5 linked regions of the Nothobranchius furzeri genome follow. The protein of the gene in region 1 purifies or fractionates together with the protein of each later gene. This does not show direct contact. Links are inferred from orthologs where the notes say so. Each region holds a gene or a part of one and is shown in the gene's direction. Other genes may lie near its edges. The genes, in order: rad18, slf1, slf2, shprh and polh.

Region 1 (4,941 bases):
TTTTGACTTCAGTTCTATTCACCGTCATCCCAAAGAGAAGCACAGCCTGGCCAGATGTGTTTTCTTCTTTAAACTAAGAACTGTGAAGTTGGAGATTTTCGTCGTTTAACAACCAGACGACATCCTTTCAAAATAAGAGCACCTGCTGACGCTGCCGATTGTTACCTGGGTCGACCCTTCAGACGGGCTTTGAAACGCTGTGACCGCGGTTTCAACCAGCTCCAGCGCACATCCGAGGTCTTCAGACCTGGCATTTCCTGATCTACCTGGGAGGCCCCCACTGGGTACGTACACGGCAAAATAGCAGCTCATGTCATCACTTTATAAGCCTCGTGATATCTAGTCATAACAATCAAAGACTACCAGATTCAATGACGTCAGCCTAAGGAGTCTGAACCAACCACACACACGCACACACACACATTGAACATCACATTCATTTCCAAACAACACAGAGTTAGTCCTGATAGATTGTAGAATTTATAATAAAATTCTTAAACGATCCCAACTCTCTCTTTTCTTGTCTCAAGGTCAATACAGAGTGTTAAATGAACTCCCTGATGATAAAAACAACCTATTCTTCTGATTATAAAAACTAGATCTACTTACAGTATATTAAAATACAACTCTAGATCGTTACATCACTCTATTTCACTACAAAACTGAGCCAGTTGTTCTAGAATACACATTTTCTCTATTCACTGGTTTTCTGGTGGAACATAGAAATTCTTTCTTACCCTGCAACAAAACAAGTGTATTTAACTTTTTCTATTTGTCAGCCTATTATTAGAGTTGTACATTTTGCAAGAAACATTTATGCATCTTATTAAGGGGGAAACCTCCACATTTACTATGAAATATAGCATGCACGCCAGAGCTCACAACAATAAAACATTAAGAATATGTAGGGTTTTAACTGAAATTGCAATAATGAAAACATTTATTAAAAGAAAGACAACTTAATTGGGAATCTGATACACTATTAAAGAAAGTACTGTGAGGCAAACGTTAAAATAACTACAATAACAAAGACTTAGCCTATATTGTGACACGTCAAAGAAACTTTAGAACAGAATTCAATCAATAATCTAATTATTTTTAAATTATTTTACTCAAACCTTATATTCATGTCAGAATTGATGTGATCAATCGAAACACTGAAATATCAGCACTAAAAAACAGCTTTTTCTTTTGAAAATAACAGTTTCCACAAACTTCATTTGGTTTTGTGATGCATTACATGTACCTCAGAAATAAGATAATCCAAATTTATGTCCTTAGTTTCTGCTTTTCTTTCATCTATGCTGAAAATTCTGATTTCCCCAATAGAGAAACAAAAAGTAAAAAGAAGTGAGTGACAAACGAATTAGAAAAGACATATTTCATGGTTTCTAGTCCTAAATTCTGACTAAAATTGTGGGCAGTGTTCCGTAAGTCGTCCCAGCTCCGCGACTAGCAGTAAACGTCTCGGCGCGTCGGCGGAAGTTGTTAATTGACGTCAGTTTGCGGTTTGCATCCTTTCGAGCGGGATACTGACCCCTGAATCTGTGAGATAAACAACTTTGTTATACATCAGAAACGTGTCTCGCAGACATGGCCCATCAGACCGCAGAGGATTTCCCGCCTAGCTTAGCATGTCTGAAAGTAAGTAATCACTGTTTTATCGTAAAAACATTCGGGTTTTGTTTACATTCCCACGTAGCTCCGAAGCTAAGGGTTGCGCAACAGCCGGTGGCAACAGCTAATGTTTCAACTAGCACCCGCGCGAAACACGCCAAAAGTTGTAAATTTAAAGGTACTTATGTAGAAATTAATTTAGGTATTTGTGCTGTAACTGTCTGGCCTTATTTGTGTATTTATATTACGTTACCTAATGGCAACTAACTCGGCTGTGGTTTAGCAAACTCATAACTAGCGATGCTCTAACATAATTTAGTGGTTAGAAAAATTTATTACAGGTTTCTGCTTGTTGTGCTCTTTGTTTGTGAAGGGCTTTTATCTACAGTAACACATCACTACTAAATTGGTGACTGGTTTAACATTTGAGATTGTGAAAACGTTCCAATCGTTACATTTTATTGCGTCAATTTTATCTATAAAGCAGAATAATTGAGAAACGAATGTTACTTTATGAATAAAATACAAAACTCATGTACTTTTTGGTTCATCAAAAATAATTACCTGCTACTGGATGCATTAGTCAAATGATCTTTTATATCAGCACTTACAGATTTCTACAAAGAATAACCAAAACAATGCTTATCAAAAACAACATTCTGACTTTATATGGTGAGCTAGAAATTTAGCACGTGAAATCACTGCCACCAGCTGAGCATTTGCTGCCGTTTACACGAGCTTTGACACATTTTATGGTCAGATTCTCAAACACATTCCTCATTAGTACTTGTGGTAGACGAGACCAGACACTGTTGTGCTGCAGAATGTCTTGACACTTTTTCTTTTTTCATCCACAGAGCATTGATACTTTGCTTCGGTGTCCCATTTGCTTCGACTTCCTCAACATTACAATGATGACTAAGTGCTCACACAATTGTAAGTATCAAGCTGAGACGTTTTTAGAATAAATACACGCTCATTAGAGATCTGGGAAAGCGGTGTCATCGTGTGTGAAATAAAGACCTCAGAGTGGCTGTTAGTCACGCAAAATAGAGTAAAATCTTTAAGAAAACTGCTGGAATTCTCTTTAAAAGCACAATGAAAGGCTCCGTCCAACTGTGTGTTTAAGTTTGTAGGCAGGTGGGCAACAAAGAAACACATTCTAACAGCTGCTGTAAGAAGCTGTTATGGAATTAGTGAAAGTTTAATTTATTCCATCTTTCAGGTCTTTTTAAATATTTCAATATAGAAATTGTATCTATTTAATTGTTGTATTATGAAATGCTTTATCTAATTTATTTATTCTTGTCATTTTTATCATTTTTTCGTATAGTTTCATAACAGCTGCTGTACTCCTCAAACCAATTTCTAGAGAAGTTGTTGTGGGTTTGCTGAAAGCGTCCCTCAATGTTTAAATCTGAACCCTTCAGTCTCTTTTAGTATAGCTCCAATGGGAGAAGATGCTCTTCATCAAAAGTCCACTTGCTATTGCCTCTGAGAGCCACCTTCTGTTTCCTCCAGAAGATACCAATCTTTGAAACGTTATTTTAGGACATAAATCTTGGTTCTCCTGCACAAACTCGTCTGTTAATTGTTTTCCCCGTCGAGGACAAAGTGGGCAATAAGTTTAAGAGGAAAGCTTTCTCTTGTTTCTGTAAGAGATTCACGTCACTTTGGTGTGTCAGGAAATCTGACTGCTCTTAACAGGTAATATAAAACCACGTGCTTATTTACCAAACATGCTTTTCCCTGCAATATTCATCAATGATACACGGGATGTTTTAACAAAACCTTAATGGATCCTAAATTAAGAAGTTTTTTTATATCGCACTTGTCCCTAAGTGTTCCTCAGACAAAAACAAGCATACAATGATCAACATAATTACAGTAACACATGATATAAAACAGCAGTACAATAAACTATCAGTTATTAGTAAAAGTGGTAGGAGACTAGTGGAGGGGATGGGTTATGAAAAAGACAGCCAAAATAAAAGCTATGGGGACTGAGGATGAGTTGTAAACAGTTTAGGGAGGGTGTAGGTGGCCAGAGGGGACAAAACCGAAATAGTAATAGCTGTTGTGCGGGTGCATGCGTGCACTGTGTGCAGCCCCACGTCTGAGTCTATGTAGGGGAAACACTGCCACCCACTCCAATTAGCAGAAATGTGGTAACCATAAATACAAATATCCATACGTCTTCTGCATTCTCCATATAAAACAATAAAAGACACTTAATATTCCACTCCTACCAGGAACCCAAAATGTGTGCAACCATGTGCGTTTCGTCTGGGCATGTGGGCGCTCCCTTCTCTATTGTGAATGTTGGGAAAAAATTGTATGAATTGCATTCAAAGGCCAGCTTACCAATTCCATGGTTTTAAAATGTAAAAATTTCCAGAAAGAATCCAAACAATTGCTCCGAGACAAAGCCTTGGGATGATAAAGGACGAGAGAGAAAAGAAAAGCTCCTTCTCATTCTGAGTGCAGGAAGATAAAAGATCTTTATCAGAATAAAATAAGTTTGTATTGTCAGAATATTTATATCACAGGAGCTTCAAGACCTAGTTCATTGTGAAACAGATATATATATACAGGTGTGCACATAAGTGGTCCGCAGGTGTGCATGCGCTGTCAAAATAAACAACGTGCACCTGAAAAAAGCTGCAGCACACATTTGCACACCTAAGATTTTGTGGAGGAAGAAAGAAGAAAGACATTTCTGGAGCATTTTAAAGATGTCCAAGAAGCAAGCTCCATTAAGTAATTATTTTGGTGTTCCTCCGCCTCCAAAAAACGCCAGACTGAGTCGGAAACGCAAAAGAAAAGAGTATTCACGGAGAAGTGGCTGCAGGAGGTCGGCTGGCTTCAAACAAACGATGAACGCACAGAGATGTGATGCAGATTATGCCGTGAAAATCCCACCCTGGCAGACGAAAACAGCGCCTTTTACATAGGCACTAAAAACTTCAGTCATCCAGCGTTTGATAAACATTCTAACAGCAGAGAACATCAGAAAGTTGTCCTCTGCTGTGTGTGAACTGGAGGAAGCCAGTCAGGATTGTGAGGAGGATGATGATGAGAGTCTGTAGAAATAAAAACGACATTTATGCCATTTTAAAAACTTCAGTGCTCAGAAATAGTAATTTTGTTAAGGGCTTTAAAATTCAATAGATTTTTGTTATCACAAAAGCAGCTGTTTACACATTGTGTTTTACATTCAGACAATTCAGTCATGTTGTCTGAAAATTAGAAGGTTTAAGTTAAGCTGGCAATATGTACTTGTGCTTATTGTTTTCAGTCAAACTAAAAATGTGTTGCACTGTC
Region 2 (4,471 bases), on another chromosome or scaffold:
AAAGATTCTTGTTTGTTGGTTTCGTTCCCGACATCGCTGACGTGTATTTTCTCTCCTAGGGCCAGCCGAGACTGCGCTTCCTTCAGTTTCTAGGTTACCACGACCCTCATCATCCTCACTCACAGGTAGACTCACGCACGTATCCACCCCCATCCACGATCACCGCTATACATACATCTACAAGATAACTCTGTGTTTCATCAAGCAGATCAGGTCATTCAATTTTCTTTATGTCATACATTTCAATGGAAAGTGACACCAAGAGCAAGGGCGCATCAAAACCAGGTCACCGATTTTACCACCTCTGAGAGCTTTGATTGGCAGACCTATTAACAATACTCTCCACCGTCCTGTCCGTACTTTACCCAAGTGGACGTCTGTCAGATTGATATTAGAAGTGCTCTTGTATTTCCATTCAGGACTTTCTCGCTCCGTATGCTATTTGCCAATAAGCGACGGTCAGAAATGACCCCCAGGAACTTTTGATGCCCATTCGCTACTTATTTCCATTACCCTTCTGCTCCCTTTTCCTACTACCATCTGTCTGGTTGAGTGCCACGTTTCTTCCTCCTTTCCATATCCTCCTCTCCCCCTTAATTTCACCATTGTTCTGTTATTCCTCCAGGCGATACTAGCAGACTTCAGCAACGTCGGTACCATGATAGAGTGTGGCCTCTTCGTTGAAGCCTTAGACTCTATCAGAAGCTCGGCGTTCCCTGGTCTGTTGCCACCAGCGACGTACCTGATCTCGCTCTTACAATACGCACAGCAGGTAAGACTAGAATTACCAGGCTGTATAAATTCCCACCTGCTGCTGCTGCATGAGCCCGGGGGGGTGCAAGTGGATCACTGGTTTCACAACATTTTTGAATATTTGTAGCTAGGACTTGTAGAGTAACTGTCATTTTGCTCCACATGCACACATCCACTGCTTCAGTCAAAGAAGCACATGTTTAATAGAAAGAAGCTGGATTCAAGCAAGCTTTTTAACAATTCTCCACGCACAGGAAATTGTTGCAGTCGCTCTAATCGTTTCAATCAACTGAAACTCTTGCTGTGTTTACATTGTATAGGGTAACGCCACATCCGTCTTCCTGAGGAACTTCCACCAAGTTTTGGAAAACCTGCTCCTCACCAACCCGCCATGGCTGGCGCCCAACTCGGTGAAGAAATACTACGCTCAAGTGCTGCAGTGTCCTCAGTGTAAGACAGGCTTGTGGCCTTTTCTGGAGACGGCCATCAGGTAATCTGACATATCCTGAAGGTTTCTCTTAATCAGCAGTTTAAGCATTTTGAAACTTGATCAGCAAAATGGTTTTCTTTGTAGGTACTGTCTATCCAGCAACATCACCTGCCACCCGCTGGCCGGACCAACCTTACCGACTCTGGTTGATTTTCATTATGACATCCTTTCTTTTTGCCTCAAGCTCTTCCAGGGGGAGCTTCACTCTGTCACCAGCGGGTAAACATTTAAATATACTCTGTCAGTATCTTTTTCTTAAAGCATTAACTTTTGGGATTCATCAATGTGATCATTTTGATCCATATCTGTTATTTATACTGCTGTTATGAGGACAACACTTTGTGTAACAGCGATCACACCACCAACGTTGCTTCCCTAAGCACTCCCAAAATCCTGAGCTGTGTCACTATCACATGCTTGAACAAATAACACTTAAAGAGCAAGTCACCCCCTACCAGATTCTTACTCAACTCCCACATCCTGTTTGAAAAATGCAACAAATGCTTTTGCCTAGCAGACCGAGAGGGTGGAGCCGCTAACAAATACACACACTCACAACACTGTGACATCATAATGCACCATCTAACATCATAGTATACCTCTTAGCCAATAGCGACGGCAGATTTAAATTCAAATGCAGTGCAGAGTTTTTACCTGATGACGGTGCAACACTGACAGTTTTAGGCAGAATATTTAAATTTTAACTAAGATGCACTAAAGTGCCGAATTATTGACTACACGTGTCTGCAGCACGATCAGACACTCATTTATATAGTTTATCAGCAAAAAAATGTTGATTTGGAGTGACTTGCTCTTTAACCAACCCCCTAGCCCTCCTGAAACAGATGCAAACTGCAACAAGATGGAAATGAACATCAGTCGTTAAGTGTCTCATTCACTAGTTTTTTTTCACTGCATCTGCTGTGGTCTCTAGTATGGACTAATGCTTTGTGAGTCATTTTCTATGAGGAAAAAAAAAGCTCTGGTGCTCTTTTTTCATGAGGTAGAAGTTTGTTGGAGGAGGAGGAGGTGTCAAAAGCATCTAAGAAAACAATGCCGCCAATTTGCCCCAACACCGAGCTGGCATCAGGGAGCCTTATGTTGTTTAGAATTGTTCAGACCGTGGCAGTAATTGTGTCCTTTTTTACAAAAGATTACGGTATAAAGGGGGTATGGGGGTAGTCTCAGCACTGCCGCTGACTTCCGTTTAACTTGGACATAACTTGCTTTTTATTGCGATCCAAGCCATGCTCCTTACATTTTTCTGACAAGCCGCTCTAGGGCTGCACGATATTAGGAAAACCTGCAATATGCCATAACAGTGATTAATATTGCGATGGCGATATTACTTGCGATAAATAAAAACTTAACTTGGGCAAAAATAATCAAAAACAAAGAAATTAAATCATGACAAAAAATCATAAAAATGAGAGAAGCAAAAGATGTGAGGAAAGGGAAAAAGAAAATTAACAAGAAAAGGTAATCAGTGGATCAGTGGAAAAGCAGAATCAGCAGAAAGAGCAGAACAAAGCTAACTCAGGTGTTGGCTAACCATCCAAATTAAGTTCCTTCCACCTCGGGGGGTGGGCATCTAACCTATGAGAACCCACCCAATTGGCCAAATGGCTGAAGAGCTATATTTGATTTGTTCAAAAAAATGTCATGCTTTTGTTTGACTGACAGAATGAATTATGCGTAGCAAACATTTTAGTTGACCATTCATTGCAATATTTAGCTGTTCTTTGCGATATGCATATTGCGCATGCTGATATCGCGATAATATATTTGCGATACAGTGTGCAGCCCTAAGCCGCTCCTAGAGGTGGCTGTCACTCAGTCTCTGGTGATCTGACCTCCAGCGCTAATGGAGAGAAGCTCCTGGAGCTCTGCATCGCTCCACTTTATCATCTCAGCTGGTTCTGGAAACAAAACTGAAACTTATTGCCTGTTTTACTTTCATTTTAAATAGAGTTGCCGGTTGAAGCTTGGCAGTAACTCCCCACGTGATCATGACACCTACCCCTGTTGTGCCAAGGCGTAATATGCATTCGCAAGTCTGGCGTTGTGGTTATATTACTACCAAGTGTGGTGGCACAAACGCAGGTCTGTCGTAGTGAAGAGCGCGCTGAGCCGGCAGGCTGAGAACAAGATCGCAGAGAGAAGCAGCCAAAATGAGTTTTCTTCGTAGGATCGCTGGGCTCTCCCTTAGAGAACGGGAGAGAAGCTTGGTCATCTCGGAGGGGCTCGGAGTAGACCCGCTGCTTCTCCACATCAAAAGGAGCCAGTTGAGGTGGCTCGGCCATCTGGTCAGGATGCCTCCTGGACGCCTCCCTGGTGAGGTTTTCTGGGCACATCTGACTGGGAGGAGACCCAAGGGAGCACCCAGGACACGCTGAAGGGACTATATCACGGCTGGCCAGGGAATACATTGAATTCCCCTGGAGGAGCTGGCCCAAGTAGCTGGGGAGAGGGAAGCGGGCTTCTCGGCTTAGGCTGCTGTCCCTGCAACCCGACTCGGGATAAGCGGCTAAAAATGGTTGGATGGATGGATGGATTTATGTGAAACTCAGAGTGACTGATTTTAATTCAAACTGAGGCAATACTACACTGTTTCTCAGTGAACAAGACCATTTGAGCATTCCAGTTGTGCCCATCAGACTGATACAGATGTTGATACAGATATATCGTGCATCCCTACATATTCTTATGTTCACTTACAAGAATGGATTTTCCTGCAGAGTAAGAATCAGAAACATGATAACCTTTCCCTCCAGCAGAGACTTTGTGCGGCACCAGGCGACACAAGCCCCCTCCACATTTTCTTCTGGTTCGTTGCTGTATGGAACCTTCTGGACTGTGTGGGAACGCTCCACATTGTTGTCTCGATCTGTGAAGCAGCTCACTCAGCTCATAGTGCAGGCTGCTAACATGGTAGGCGCTTTATTTACCGGCTATGTATTTTTTTAAGTGTTATGGCTGTTTTTAGTTCATTTCTGTGAATTTGCTTGTCTTCGTCGAAGGGCGGGGCTGAGAGGGAGGAGACGCAGAAGCTGCATTTGGCAGACACCATGCTGCATCTGCTGTCCGTGTTGGTGGAGTTCTGGTGTCAGCAGCATTTCAGACTCAATCAGCACTTGGTGGAAAAGGGCCTCAAAGACCTATCAGAGCATTTCGCAGTTGTTAGCCAGGGTATGCAACAAAAACACAGAGTATGTCCATAGATTGTTG
Region 3 (5,257 bases), on another chromosome or scaffold:
CTGTGACCTATCCGCGCAGTGCACGGAGAACCCCGGTAGTTGTACTGCGGTGTCCGGTACTTTGTCCGATAGCCAGGTTTCTATGAGGCAGATCGCACAGCAGTCCCGCATCTCTCGCTGGAATGAGATCCGAGCCCGAAGCTCGCACAGCTTGTTTTCCAGGGACTGCACATTAGCCAGTAGTAAACTGGGTAATGGTGGTCTGTTAGTGCGCCGTCTCAGTCGAACCAGAACGCCAGATCTTCTCCCTCTGCGTCGGCGCTTGCGGCCTCCACAGGCCCATAACAAAGGCGTCTCAGGTGAGATGAATGTGGGATCTGCAAACGGCGGGTCCGTGATGAAAACCCTGGACTCCGGAAAGTAATGAGAAAATCCGTCTTTTATGTCCAGTAAGGTTTGTCGGTCGTACACAAGGATACATGTGCTACTCGTGAAAAAATAAAGAAAAAGAAAAAGTAGTAAACACAAAAAACAGCTGTTGCTTGGTGGAGCTCGCGACGAGGCAGCCATACTCGGCGCCATCTTGTCGGAATGTGTCACCCACAGGCCTGAGCAGTAGGGCACCGTCCCAACCCACCGCTCTTGTTTTCCCCAAGTGCCATTTTGGGGAGAACATGCGCTCATTTTACCCTGCCTGGTATCGTGAGAGACCTTGGCTGGAATACTCAGTAAAGCTGAATGCGTGCTTTTGTTTCCCATGTCGTAAGTTTGGGGGGAAGAACAATGATAGGGGTTTGGTTTTCACAAAACAAGGATTTAATAATTGGAAAACAGCACTGGAAAATTACAAGGGATTCACAAAGCATGCTTCAAGGTATAAGCCATTTTGGGATTCATGGATTATATCACTAATTCCATATTTTAGTCGTCTGACTATTACTGATGCTAGAATTTTGTAATCGTTGTTAAATAAAGTAATGCCACGCCAATTGGCCTCACTTGTGGGGGCTTGAGCTAGATGCTTGAATTTTGTCTTCAAGTACCATAATGCAATTCGTGAGTGACGCGCATGCAGGCGGGAGACGTCATTTGGAATTCTACGATGTCCAAGGAAGATCCCGCCTTTCTCGTCTCTGATTGGCTAGAAATGCCCTACTACGATTGGTTATTTCATTTAGCAGCAAACTGGCTGTCCTCGCTAAGTGCTGACTGTGACCTGCCTCCAGCAGAAAGCTGTTTTGTGGAGTTTAGTAAATAAAATGTGAACTTAGCGCTAGAATAAATATTCTGTCCTGGTTTGCAAAATATTTAATGTTTTATGTTGCATTAAAAAACTGAAATACGTAAAATGTGAATTTTAAACCTTGTTGCATTTATCTAACTGTTGGACTCTTGGCTCTGAAGCATATGTGCCTTACCTGGGTATGAAATTTAATAAATCTGCCCTATTCTGCCCAGCTGTGTGCATCAGGTCTGTTCTTTCTCTAGAATAATGAAAATTGGTGAAAAATAGGTCTAAATCATAATCAGCTTTAGCTTCATTTTTGATTAAATGATATACAGTACATTTAATCTGATGATGAGAGATGTGCTCTAACTTGTAAACAGCCTTAACCTATTAAAGCAGAATAGCCTAATAATGAAGTACTAAGATAACCCCAATAGAGCCAACAGATATAAAGTCAGTCTACAGTGTGATAAAATGCTACAAGAATTATTACAAGTTCACATTTGATGTTGTTCAGGCTCTTTTATGAAAGAAACTGAACCTGGTTTGTTGCTAAACAGGAAAGGATGTTTATTATAGCGATGAGTTCACATTTTCTTCAAATAACTCCTCGAGATCTGGCTGTAAACACAAAAACCTGCAGAGAGGGGAAACTGTTTACACGAAATAGCCAATCGTAGTAGAGCCCTTCCAGCCAATCAGAGGCGAGAAAGGTGGGACCTTCCTTGGACATCCTAGAATTCTAAATGAGGCAGGCGGGAGACGGATTTGCATCAGCAACGGCGAGATTTTCGGCTTTGTTATTTCAAATGCAGTTCGTGAACAAAGGTCACTATTCAGAACATGAAAAAAACAACGGAAAATCACGACTTTGCGAGGTAAGATAACAAAGACCACGTTGCCAGCCACCTAGCTAAAGAACTTCCTGAAACAGACTTGCTCCTACCTAGCAATCGTTTGTTTTTAATGTATTTGTCCTGCCGTTGAGACATATGTGTATTTTAAAGTTTGTGTCAAGGAGTCTTGCAATTAATGTTTTAAGACAAATGTTGTGGTGCAATTGTGTGTTTTATTGCTAAATATTACCATCGTGCACTCAATCGTTTCTCATCTTTTCCTGCTTGCTAACGTTAGCTAGCTAATCAATTCCATCCAACCGCTAGCAAAACATGGCTTTCGATTTTTCTGCAGTTTTGTGTCTTATTTTCGTCAAAGTAACAACACCATGTGTCAGTGTAAACACATTAAACTCTTAAAATGTCAGCTGCTGTTATCAGCTCGCGTATCATTCCGTGATTTATAGTTTTTTTTTAACAAAATGCCGAGTTGTTTCACATTTGTTAGCTGAAGCTAACAAGTCAGGTCAAGTATTCTTTATTCCAGACTTGGTCAAATTCACAGAAGTAGAAAAAAACACCTAGTATAGATAAGATTAAATGAAATAAGTACATATGACGCTAAAGCACAAGAGACAAAATAATCATGAAAATAAAAACAAGAGACAATAATAGCAGTAGTACTAACATATGATGTGTTAGTCGAGTTTTTCTTCGTAATGAAACTGATTCTGTGATTTTCCTGCAGAACTCTTGCAGAGAAGCATTCTTCGAGGAAGGGTGAGTCGAAACATCGTCGAGTCACGCCATTACTGTGTTCTGTTAGGCAAAACACATGTGACGCTGTTGCTGTCGGTTATTGTTCATAATTGTCAAAAACGTTATTACATACTCTGTTATTACATAATAAATAGGAGATCTTGAGGTTACTGGTGTCAAAAGCTTCTAACTCACTTTGTACAGTTTAACAAAACATTTCAGATTTTGTTTGTGTGGCATCAGGGATTGCAGTAGTTGCCAGTAGCACACATGGCCACCTGGGGAGTTACACCCCAGGAAATAAAGACACACAGGTCCACTCTACAGATCAGGCAGGAGACGTGGTCTGACCAATAACATGCTTTTTATTAAAATATAAAAGAGACTAAATTAACCTGAATAGGCTGAAGCTTACCAGGGTCTAATTCAGCCTACCAAAAAAATACACACCCAGTGCCATGCATCCAGGAGGTGCACGGTGAAGGAACACACACACACGTGGAAAACTCCCGCCACCAAGGCCAATGGTACCCCACTGGGATCAAACAGCCTGCAAAAAAAGAAAGAAACTGTTAAAAACAAAACCAACAAGCAGTTGGCTAAACAAATTATAAAAAGATGGACAGCCTGCTAGCTCACCAGCCAGGAGTTGCAGGCTGTCTGAAATAAGTTAAAAAAAATTTCAATTATTTATTTAAAAGAGCAATCAGTCTTGCTCAGATGTGTGCCAGACGTGCACCACGCACAAAGAGCTAAACAGCTCGAAAGTTCTTACTGCTGGAGACACCGGAGAGGTGGTCCTCCTTGGACCTGAGTGGAGTCCCACTACAGTCTAGTCTAGGAGGTGATGTCGTTGGCCGCCGTGGATCCGATCTGGTATAGGTCAAGCGGGACCGGCCGCTGTCACATCCAAGCACCCGCACGCCAGGCGATGCCGGGAGCTCCTGTCCTCTACTTGTGGGAGCTGGGAACTAATCATAAAAATCCGGAGAAGCAAAACAGCAAAGTCTGCGGAGGTGCATACTCTAAAATGAGCCAAAAGCTAATTAAAATGAGCAGCTGAATGATGAAAAAAGCAGGGTACATACCTTAGACGTTGGTTTGCCCAACTGAGCCGGCGAAACACGGGTACGTCCCAGAGCTGACTGATCAGATACCAGCCACCACTAGAGCATTAATATGATTAACACAGACTCCCAAGTCGCTAACACCGAAGGGATAATTTTACTTATAGTTTGCGCTGAGTTCCAAGCACTGCCACATACTCGACCGGCTCGACATCCCGGTTGTAAACGCCAAGTTTAGTGAGAGGTGATCACCCAAGGGAACAAACCTGTCCTTATAACAGGGCGCCCTCAACAGGTGAATGGTTAAGCAGCATCCCCCAGCTGCAAACGATCACCCTGCTACATTTGGCTTTCAGTAACTTTGTGGGCATTTTGCATCTCAGTAACTGATATGTACTCAACCTTTTGGAGACATAGAATTTTTATACCATTTTATTCTTACTGCTCCAAACATTTTTTTTACAGAACACATTTAAAACAACAATGTTGATCAAAGTACTGAATGAATATAAAGTGAATGGCACTTTGCAAAATAAACCTAATTAAAAAAAAAGGGGAGAAATGTGTTACCAATAAAAATCAGCACTACCAACAGCACCACCCATTGTGACTTGGATGGGTTCTGTTCTGTTGGACAGCTGTTTCCAACAGCAGGGTTTCAGTATTTTCCCCAAACTTTTCAGTGCTTAGCACACAGAACCAGCCAATGTTAGCGCAAGTGCCCAAGGTCCCCCCACCCTATGCGCTATGACGAGCACACCCACTAGAGTTTTTTTTTTTTTTTTTTTGTCAGAGTTGGCAAGGAAAACCAACTACACTCGACCCATGTTAGACTGAGTAGCATTGTTGGAAAAGGGGCGTAAGTGTCCTTGCTGGAGATAATAACTTCAGCAAGTCTCCACTGTAATGGCGTGCCAACAGAGATTTAAAGCCGGGCGTACACTGTGCGACTTTTTCACTTTTTTGAGCCGATTTTCCAGTCGTGTGAGAATCCACGACATCGGGGCGAGTTTTGCGCCGAGCGGTCGTGTATTGTACAGGGGGTTACGAGGGGCGATTAACACCACATGACCAGCTGCCGATCAGCAGTCGTGAGGTCGCACGGACTTCTGGCGTGTTTAATATTTCGCTCGGCCCCCGTGAGGGTATCGCACTGTTGAAGCGGCGCTGCAAGCAGCTGCGACCCAAAAAGTATCAGAACCGCTCACGGCGCATGCGCAATCCTGCATCAACACCGCTCGCTATTTCCCTAATAACACACGTTGTTCGTTTTTGTTTCTACACGTTTTTTTACTCACAAAGATTGTCAAGAAAGCGTGTTTGTTGTGTTCTTGTCAAATTAAACTGACTACTAAACACAGATTTACTTTCTTTATTTCGTTTTCCTCATCCAACCCCCATAAATCCCTGTGTGTCCTCCTGCAGCA
Region 4 (5,232 bases), on another chromosome or scaffold:
AGTACTTGAACAAGGTCTTGTCACTCAGGTCGATGCTGGTGGCGGAATAAGCAATCTGTGGGATGTTGAACAGCTGGAGAAGATTTTGCACTTGAATTGCAACTGAGCTTGAGCCAGGTCCGATGACTCCTACAATGGGCTTCTTGGTTGATGGCGGCTGACTGGAGGGCACCCCTTCGATGCACCACTTAGATCCCTCAGAGTCATCCCGGATGGAGATGAGAGAGTCTCGTATGAACTCGATGCTCTGCTCCAGAGCAACCGAGGAATGCCAGCAGGAGTCCCGGATCTCACAGCCGAGGGTGATGTTAGGTAAGAGGTTTGGGTCTGAGTTAATTCGATCCAGGGTGTGGAACATGGCCTCCACCCGCTGGATGCCATACTGCTCACGGACCTCTCCACATTTCCTCTCTGCCACCTTCTCAGCTGATGGCTGGTGGTGTACGGAAAACAGTGCACCAATTATAATGTCCCCATCCATTCTGGCCACCAGGCGAGAGGCAGAACTTGGGACGACTGACCTCTCATACTTCCCTTTGGACAAAACAAATGCCTCAAACAGTAAAACGGGCAAATACAAAATGCTCACTGCAGTCAGGCAGAACATGTTTGACATTATACCGAAGGTGATGAATAAAGATTCATGTCTCTTCAGCCAAATTAGAGACCCATCAGTCCTGTATGTATAGATCAGAAATGTCACCAATCTGCTTCTTCATGATTTCATCCTGTATGTGAGACAATAAGCAGTATTAGTTGAGATATTTTACAGTGTAGCTCTAAACAGACAACAGGCAGATTTTGAGGACTAAAGTTTTCTAAAACTGGGACATCTTTAGATTTCAGCACCACGGACAGCAGCTCCTACAAATGAGCAATGAACATATTTTGCCGTCTTTTTTCCTCAACTTTTACCAGGAAAGCATCACATAAGAGACACATGCACACTGCCAGAATGGCTTTTCATCATCAACTGTACACATTATTCATGCAATCCTGTGGTGATGCTTAACCAACAAAATCAGGCTAAAAATTCCAGCATTTTTAAGTGTATGCATGTATGACTTTACTCACCTGCACCACGCAGCTCAGAAAACAGTGGATCCGCTGTCTCGTGTGTTTCAGACAGACTGGACTCCAGCTCTTCCATCGAGAAAACACGGTGTCGTTCTCCCTCCCGCTCCCTAGCTGCACACCTCTTCTCTTCCTCACTGCATCCTAAAAGCGGGTCACACTCACTGCAGTGTCCCTGATTTCAGTCCTCAGTTTATAAATGCCGGTGAGACAATGACGCAGGAAAAGTGACATTTAAATAACGAAATGTTCAGGTGCACACTGAAAAAACACAAAAAATGAATGAAAATGAACGAAAAGAGATGGTGTAACCTGATACGCCTGCATAGCTGTGCTGAATGAATGTGAGGTGTGAAGGTGTTCACGCGCCAAAGGGACAACTTACTATAAAAGGAGTCGTCAAACTTCACGTGAATCATCCCCTCTGCGTCGTGGAGATGATGCAGTTCACTGCTGCAACAGAAAAAAAGGTTCACTCTCTACTGACATCATGTGGCCAGCATCCGGTACAACGACTGCATCTTCAAATGTAAAGCTACAAAAATTAAATACGATAACAATATATATATATATATATATATATATATATATATATATATATATATATATATATATATATATATATATATATATATATATATGGCCACAAAATAGCAGTTCCCAAAACTCACAATTATTAGCTGTAATTAGAGAAATTATAAAACTTTCATGAAGTTTGATTTGGCATTGCCACGTTTTCTTCAACAAACACTAAAGTGCAATTTGTTGTAAAATACTTATATTAATGCTTATTTTCCATAACAACAAAAAAGAAGAGGCGAGTTTCTAGGTTTTCACGAAATGTGTAGTTTTATTGTGTACAACATGTCTACACCCAGTTACGTCATTTCCTGTATGAAAAAATGGCGACCATCTACTTTGCTGTGGACACTTGAACTGTTTTGGTGCTTTCAGGATCCGATTTGCTTCATTATGAAACAGCTCCTGATTCCGTGATAACAACCGGATCGGTTCAAACGAGGCTCGAAAAGTAAACACGTTTTTAAAATGACTTATCTTGTTTAGAAAACGTTAAAATAACGTAGTACTGTTTATGCTGCACCAAGGCTCAATACTTGGTGCTAAAGACTGAACAGAACCACAGAAGTTTTGTTAAAGGGCAAGTAACACCTGTCCCAGAGTCTTACTCCACCCACGTTTCCAGTTATATTTATCTTTTTCCAGAAAAAGATAATTTAGAAAAATGAAAAGCAGGCTAGCTGCTTGCTAGCATATGTAAACATTAGCAGCGGTAGTTTTCCAAACGTTTGTCACGTTAACTTTATCATTTGATAGTGATGATATTAGCTAGTACTAACAGTAATTCTACCTTGTCTATTTGAGCTGATGCTTTCTTTTTCGTATCTACGGCCAGTCTGCTCATTCTCAGACATTTTCATCCACACAACAGCCACCCACTGGACATGTTCCCCCTTTTTGGACCAGTCTCTGTAAACTAGAGGTGGTTGTGGCTAAAAATTCTAAAATACACATCCTGTCTGGCCTCAATAATTATGACACATTCGAAGTCACCTAAATCTCATTTCTTGATTTGAACCCTTAATTAGCTGCCACGTGATTGGATGCTTTTAAAAACAGATACCTAATAAAGTTGATAGTGAGTGTGTGTTCTAAGTCACATTTGGGATATTTTAATGGGAATATTGTCCACTTGTTAAAATGCCAAAATAGCAGAATTTTGGAAGATTGTTATTATAAGTAATAATTACTTGAAGCTTTTTTTCTATTGTTCTCGTTTTAGTTCGTCACCATGAGCAGCCGAAGAAAGAGGGCCCCACCCGCGAGGGTGGATGAAGATGCCAAGAGACAGTTGGAGTGGAACATGTTTGAGGATCGCAAGAATGAGGAGATCCAGGAAGAGGACCAGACGCCATCCTGTTCCATTCTTTCAGTTGACACCACCCCGGGCAGCTCTTTTCTCTCAGTTGTTGAAGACGTGACGGAGGCTCCCTGTTCCCGATCTGTTCGGTTTTCAGAAGAGTTTCCCAGCACCGCCTCAGACAGCACCTCTGCCTTGCCCTCGCTGGCACTGTCCGTGCTGCCAGCTTTGAAGCTGGCTCACATCTGGAAAGCCCTCATTGGGGAGTTCATCATTCGACCGGTTTGGCTATCATCTGACTATGAGTGGAAGGTTTTTACAGTTCACAGGAAAGGTGAGCAGCTCTACCTCAGTTACAGCAGCTGTGATGAGAGCTCAGATCTGCAGTGGAGGCCGGACGACGACAGCTGTACAGCCGAGTGTAACCTCAGTCGGATTCTGCTGGAAGAACTCGACTGGCTGCAGAAGAGGAGGGTGGTGCAGCTCTGCCATCAGACCAAAGATCAGGAAGTCAAGGTGTGTCTTACTTTGATAGAACGTTACTTTATTTGTGATACAACGTAATTAGCATTTTACCACGTTAAAGCATTGACGTTTCAAAATGGACAAATTTGTGCCCTGGATCCCTTTTTTAAACTCATCTTTTATTCAAAACAAGGCAATATTTAAAGGTCTGCTTAATATTTTATTCTTAATGAACACATTATCATCGCTGTGCTTGGCAGGTGGGAATTTACCTGCTGGAAACTGGACTCGGAAAGCCGGATTTCCTCAGTGAGGGGAATGCTCGTCTGAAGAAAGCAAATCAGCTGATGCAGAAATTAATGGAATATTTCTACGATTTCATCATTCCTGGTGGGTCTGTGGGCCTACTGGGTAATATTATGATCCATTGCAGCGAGATAAAAACAACACTTTCTTTGTAGAAGTTGTAGAGAATGAAGAGGAAGAGAGCGACACCGACCTGGAGAGACAGAATGTGGAGGAACTTTATGATCACGTGAGACTCGTGCACCAGAAGGAGAACCAGGGTGCGACCTATGATGTCCAGCACAAGGCTCTCATTCCATTTCTCAGACGGTATCAGAGCCAGGCGGTCAACTGGATGCTGAGGAGAGAGAAATACAGGAACACGGCTCCTAAAGGTATTCCCTCCAGGCCTTTGAAGATGGAGAACTTTATGTGTGTTTTTGAGAATACAGAGATCATTTAAGCAAAGCTTCATATTGTACAACTCTGTCTTTACTTTTTGTTTTATAGAACAGTTTTTGCATTTCCTCTGGCGAGAGTTAATTACTCTGTGTGGCAAGAAGCTGTTTTACAATCCTTTCACTGGCTGGTAAGAGAAAAAGCAATGTTTTGTGTTAAATAATCACTTCATATAGACACTTTTACAAACATCCTAGAATAACGAAACTTAATAAAATCTGTCCAGGGGCCATTTAAATCCACCGTAGTCATGGTCCGTAGTAAAAACAGTCCAGGGTACATTATTGATTGCTGTTTGATTTTAACTTTTCAATTGACAATCGATTTGGAACAAAACAGAAAATCTACTACAGATGTGTTTATTATTATGTAACATGAACAAACTGTTACCAAGCGGTGGAAACCTTTCATGTTTCCATCTTTTTCTCCTAAAATCACAATTCTGTAGTAAGAGATCTAACATTCACCTAAATATAAGTCTGTTCTGTTTTTCCACAAAACAAACGGTCCTAAAGTTACAAACATTAATGATTAAAATAACCAGATAAGTTAGTTACTGGACATTACGATGGGTTACGTCTTTGTTGGGTCTCTACCGCTCACTCCCCTTGCACCATTAACTGTTCGGTTTTCTTTCTGGTCCAGTTTAATTCGAGAGTTTCCTCTGGCTGGTGTCGACTGGCCTGGGGGGATTCTGGCTGACGAGATGGGGCTCGGTAAGACTGTGGAGGTTTTGGCGCTCATCTTGTTTCACACTCGTCAGGACCTGCAGCAGGATGCCTTCACGCTGCCTGTGGTGAGGAGTGTTTGATTTATTTTCTTGGATTTTCTTCTATTTAAAAAAAAATTAAATGTAAAATGCAATTCTGTTGTTTTCTTCTAATCTTTTGCTTCTTCAGGGAAAATCTGTGAATTATTTTGTTCCTCCTCGCCCGCTGGAAAGAGAGAATGCCATACGCTGCAAGTCTGAAGCTCAGCCGAAGATGAAAATATCCCACCCAAGTATGTCTCCTTGAAGTCCTCTCAGACAGGCGATCAGTAAAGTAGTTTCACTTTTTACATGTGAGTCT
Region 5 (3,600 bases), on another chromosome or scaffold:
TACTTTTAAGGTGTTGGCAAAGCTGGCCTGTGGGCTGAACAAACCTAACAGACAAACCATTCTACCTTTGGACTCTGTGGGGGAACTTTTCAGCTCTTTGCCTGTCAGTAAAATGTGAGTTTAAAGTCTCACAAGAATTTAATCATCACAAAAACGCCGATCTTCTGATGTAGCAGTGGAAAAATACAAGTCTGTACTCGTGTACTTTTAATTTCTCCTGTGCAGTCGAAACCTGGGGGGTAAGCTGGGCGTGTCGATTACAGAAACCCTGGGAGTGGAGAACATGGGAGATCTCACTCGGTTCTCTCAGGCTGAACTGGGGCAGCACTTTGGAGAAAAAACGGGGTGAGAAAATGCAGTTTCACAGGATTACTGGCGAATAAAAGGTCTACTTGTAGGACAGTTCGAGACTAGATTTAGAGATTTGGGACTTTGGGGTGTGAAAATAAAACATAATTCAAATAACCATTTTAAGTTTTCTGACAGTCTGGTTGACATTTTTCACACAGAATTGTATTTATTTGAAATGGACCTTAACTGCTGACATGTTTTTTAAATTCTCTATGACCAACATAACGCTGCAGCCAGTGGCTGTTTGACCTGTGTCGGGGGATCGAGTTTGAACCTGTGAAACCCAGACAGCTTCCCAAGTCCATTGGCTGCAGTAAAAACTTTCCCGGGAGGACGTCACTGGCTACTAAGGATCAGGTACAGGACTGTCAAAAGTATTTCAACATAATCTGTTACTCTCTGAAAGGTTTATGCCTCTGACGTGGGGGGAAAAGACACCAGAACTATGAGAAATGTCATTATTTAGTTCCATTTATTATTTGCAAAGATTGTCCTGATGCTGAAATCAAACCTCCGTGTAGGTGCAGTACTGGCTTCATCAGCTGGCCCTGGAGTTGGAGGAGAGGCTGGCCAAAGACAAAGAAGTGGTGAGAATTATTTAAATGTAATCGCTTTTTTTCATTACAGCTTGGCTCGTTGTGTCCTCGTATTCCTGTAGCACGCCACTAGTCTCACACCCGTGTTTTCTGGCTGCACTACAGAATAATCGTGTGGCAAAGCAGCTGACGGTTGGCGTGCGTCAGCTTGGCGATAAGCGGCCGACCGGCTTCTCTCGATGCTGTGCTTTAGCACGCTACGAGGCGACCAAAATATCAAGTGACAGCTTTGCTCTGATCAAGAGTCTCAACAAAGCAGGAAACCACCAGGCTGCGTGGTAATTAAAGAGCGATGACGTAAAAGGCTGATGTATGTTTTGAGGGAATGCTGCATGATTTAGATCATGTGTCTGACATGTTTCCAGGTCTCCCCCCCTCACCCTGCTACACATCTCTGCTAGTAAATTCAGTGATGCTCCGTCTGCTGGGGGGATTGCTGGATTTCTGTCCAGTGAAGGAACTTCAACCCAGACTCTGTTCTCCTCCACCCAGCCATCCTGTGACGTAAAAACAGAGCCTCCATGTAGTCAGCATGGTACCATTCAGTCCTTCTTTCAAAAAGCAGCTGGAAAACAAAAGCAAGTTAAAAGCGACACAGAAGAGGAAGTTCTCCCGCCTTTTGTTGGCGATCAATCTGACACCGATTGCCAGCTGGAGATGGCAAGTGACTCACAAAAATCTCCTTTCAAAAGTGTCTCCCACTCTAAAACTGACTCTTCTAGCTCCCATCCTGGCATCTCCTCTTTCTTTCATAGGAAGAGTCTTGAAAAAAGCTCTAACGTGTCTTCAGGTCACAATGATGCATGTGCCGGTAGAGGCACTGATGCTTTTGCATCTGGCCAGCAGTTAAAAATGATCCCAGAGTTAATACCAACACAGTCACAGGAAGAAGAGGTAAGGGAGGAACCGGAAAGCCATCTGGACAGTACTTCTAGTGCGCTAGGAGGAGACCTTTTAAAGTGTGAACGTTGTGGTGTAGAGGTTCTGGTGTGGGAAATGCCTGAGCATCGTGACTATCACTTCGCCCTGGACCTCCAGAATTCACTGTCTTCATCTACAAATTCAGGAAGCTTGCCTCCAAATCTAACCGTCTCATCTTCCTCCAGTGGTTCTCCATCTGCTCGGTCGTCCCGAGGCAAAACAAAAACCAGAGGTCAGTCAGGTCCTGCACCAAAGAGACAACGCTCACTAGGGGGCAGTGTGGGTACTCTAGATGCTTTCTTCAAAAAGAACTAAACATTTAGGGCATGAGTATTTATTTCTGAACATTGTGTATATATATATTTACACACACACACACACACACACACAAAGATGTTTTTATATTATCTTTACCAGAGGAAAGCCAGACAACCAGAATACAACAAGACTTGTTTTGAATCAGTTGTTTTTGTGCTTCATGAGGATATTAACATGTGTATTTTGGGTCCTATTTTTAATTTAAAAGGGCATTTCTAGTTGTTGAGCTTTATTTTGTAAACCTGTACAGATAAAAAATATTTTCAACTTCATGCAGAGAGTGTGTTGTAGTGTTCTGGCGTAACAGCAGATGGCAGTAGTGTGCAGACGAGTGTGGTTCAGGAGTCGGTGTGAATCTTGATTACAAATTCAAGACGCAGTTAGTCTTTGAGATAACTTGTAAAGTCAAATTAAATGAGTCATTCCTACACGGTCCTTGGACAATTAGTTGATCAGTTCTTCTAAATGTAAAAGGCAGCTGCCCAAACACCACCAATCCCCCCCTAAATCCTCCAAAAGCAGTAAGGGAATCAATCCTAAAGCTCCAATCTGGTGTCATCAATTCTGACATTAAGTCAAATTAAAAAGTACAAAACACCTTTGCAGAAAGAAAGTTTTAGTTTGATTTCAGTCTCTAGAAACACACCATGCAATGTATTGGAAAGACCACGTATGTTTCATCTCAGAGGAGATGGACCTGCGGTGTTTTTAGGGACAAAAATTTAAGTTTTAGATCATTAAGAGGAAACGACACAAAACTACAATTTACCAGCTTTAATGTTTATGCTACAAAAGATTTAAACTGTAGTTGTATTTAGTTTCTGTTTCTAGAAATCATCTCAAGACTTAACGTGTAATTCTGAAACCATTTAGGTTAATATTTAAATTTTTTGTAGTGTTGGTATGTTGTAAAACACAAACAAGCAGCTTTTGCTTCCTCTTGCATCAGCTGATGGGCCACTTGTAAACAAACCCCACCTTTTGTTGTGAGTCACGCTAAAGTCCCAAGTCTTGGTTTGTGATGGCACGGCTAAAAACCCCAAACCTTTACAGATGTACTTAAAAAGATCAACAACAGGTGCTCAGGAGCTAATAAAGAATTTATTTATGTACTCATGACACACAAATTGGATCTGTACATAAATATTGCATTTCACTCACAGAATTATCAAATATACTTTGAATTAAAAAGGGAACCAGGTTTGGAACCTAAATACTAAAGAATTAAGATATTAAAGGGTTGACGATTATAAAAACTGTGAACTGTAAAATCGACTAGAAATCTATCAAATACAACCACGGTGCATTGAACCAAACACCTGAACTCTACAAATGATACAAAATCATTTGGTTGATGTTTATTCTTTAAGTTTCCTGTGCATCAAAACACGGGTACCACAACATTGGACATCAG

The links.
Region 2: the proteins of rad18 (region 1) and slf1 purify together in Homo sapiens (affinity purification with mass spectrometry; 4 studies listed by BioGRID and IntAct, with this or other methods). This does not show direct contact. The link is inferred for Nothobranchius furzeri from reciprocal best matches to the Homo sapiens genes RAD18 and SLF1.
Region 3: the proteins of rad18 (region 1) and slf2 purify together in Homo sapiens (affinity purification with mass spectrometry; 3 studies listed by BioGRID and IntAct, with this or other methods). This does not show direct contact. The link is inferred for Nothobranchius furzeri from reciprocal best matches to the Homo sapiens genes RAD18 and SLF2.
Region 4: the proteins of rad18 (region 1) and shprh purify together in Homo sapiens (affinity purification with western blotting; 3 studies listed by BioGRID and IntAct, with this or other methods). This does not show direct contact. The link is inferred for Nothobranchius furzeri from reciprocal best matches to the Homo sapiens genes RAD18 and SHPRH.
Region 5: the proteins of rad18 (region 1) and polh purify together in Homo sapiens (affinity purification with western blotting; 7 studies listed by BioGRID, with this or other methods). This does not show direct contact. The link is inferred for Nothobranchius furzeri from reciprocal best matches to the Homo sapiens genes RAD18 and POLH.

Annotation. Positions count from the first base shown.
Region 1 is NC_091743.1:47,198,714-47,203,654, forward strand, and holds the start of rad18 (E3 ubiquitin-protein ligase RAD18), read left to right. Parts: upstream 1-1,486; 5' UTR 1,487-1,593; coding exon 1,594-1,644; intron 1,645-2,474; coding exon 2,475-2,553; intron 2,554-4,941. UniProt on the Homo sapiens protein: E3 ubiquitin-protein ligase involved in postreplication repair of UV-damaged DNA. Postreplication repair functions in gap-filling of a daughter strand on replication of damaged DNA.
Region 2 is NC_091757.1:41,832,500-41,836,970, reverse strand, and holds part of slf1 (SMC5-SMC6 complex localization factor protein 1), read left to right. Parts: intron 1-59; coding exon 60-125; intron 126-625; coding exon 626-772; intron 773-1,073; coding exon 1,074-1,243; intron 1,244-1,327; coding exon 1,328-1,462; intron 1,463-4,017; coding exon 4,018-4,174; intron 4,175-4,263; coding exon 4,264-4,432; intron 4,433-4,471. UniProt on the Homo sapiens protein: Plays a role in the DNA damage response (DDR) pathway by regulating postreplication repair of UV-damaged DNA and genomic stability maintenance.
Region 3 is NC_091752.1:20,526,101-20,531,357, reverse strand, and holds the start of slf2 (SMC5-SMC6 complex localization factor protein 2), read left to right. Parts: upstream 1-1,890; 5' UTR 1,891-2,011; coding exon 2,012-2,046; intron 2,047-2,752; coding exon 2,753-2,784; intron 2,785-5,257. UniProt on the Homo sapiens protein: Plays a role in the DNA damage response (DDR) pathway by regulating postreplication repair of UV-damaged DNA and genomic stability maintenance.
Region 4 is NC_091758.1:20,356,374-20,361,605, reverse strand, and holds the start of shprh (E3 ubiquitin-protein ligase SHPRH), read left to right. Parts: upstream 1-1,966; 5' UTR 1,967-2,104; intron 2,105-2,875; 5' UTR 2,876-2,884; coding exon 2,885-3,469; intron 3,470-3,678; coding exon 3,679-3,808; intron 3,809-3,879; coding exon 3,880-4,098; intron 4,099-4,213; coding exon 4,214-4,292; intron 4,293-4,807; coding exon 4,808-4,958; intron 4,959-5,061; coding exon 5,062-5,164; intron 5,165-5,232. Other genes in the region: grm1b (metabotropic glutamate receptor 1b), read right to left, coding at 1-616. UniProt on the Homo sapiens protein: E3 ubiquitin-protein ligase involved in DNA repair.
Region 5 is NC_091752.1:33,815,662-33,819,261, forward strand, and holds the end of polh (DNA polymerase eta), read left to right. Parts: intron 1-10; coding exon 11-114; intron 115-225; coding exon 226-345; intron 346-584; coding exon 585-708; intron 709-872; coding exon 873-938; intron 939-1,052; coding exon 1,053-1,225; intron 1,226-1,312; coding exon 1,313-2,183; 3' UTR 2,184-2,458; downstream 2,459-3,600. UniProt on the Homo sapiens protein: DNA polymerase specifically involved in the DNA repair by translesion synthesis (TLS). Due to low processivity on both damaged and normal DNA, cooperates with the heterotetrameric (REV3L, REV7, POLD2 and POLD3) POLZ complex for complete bypass of DNA lesions.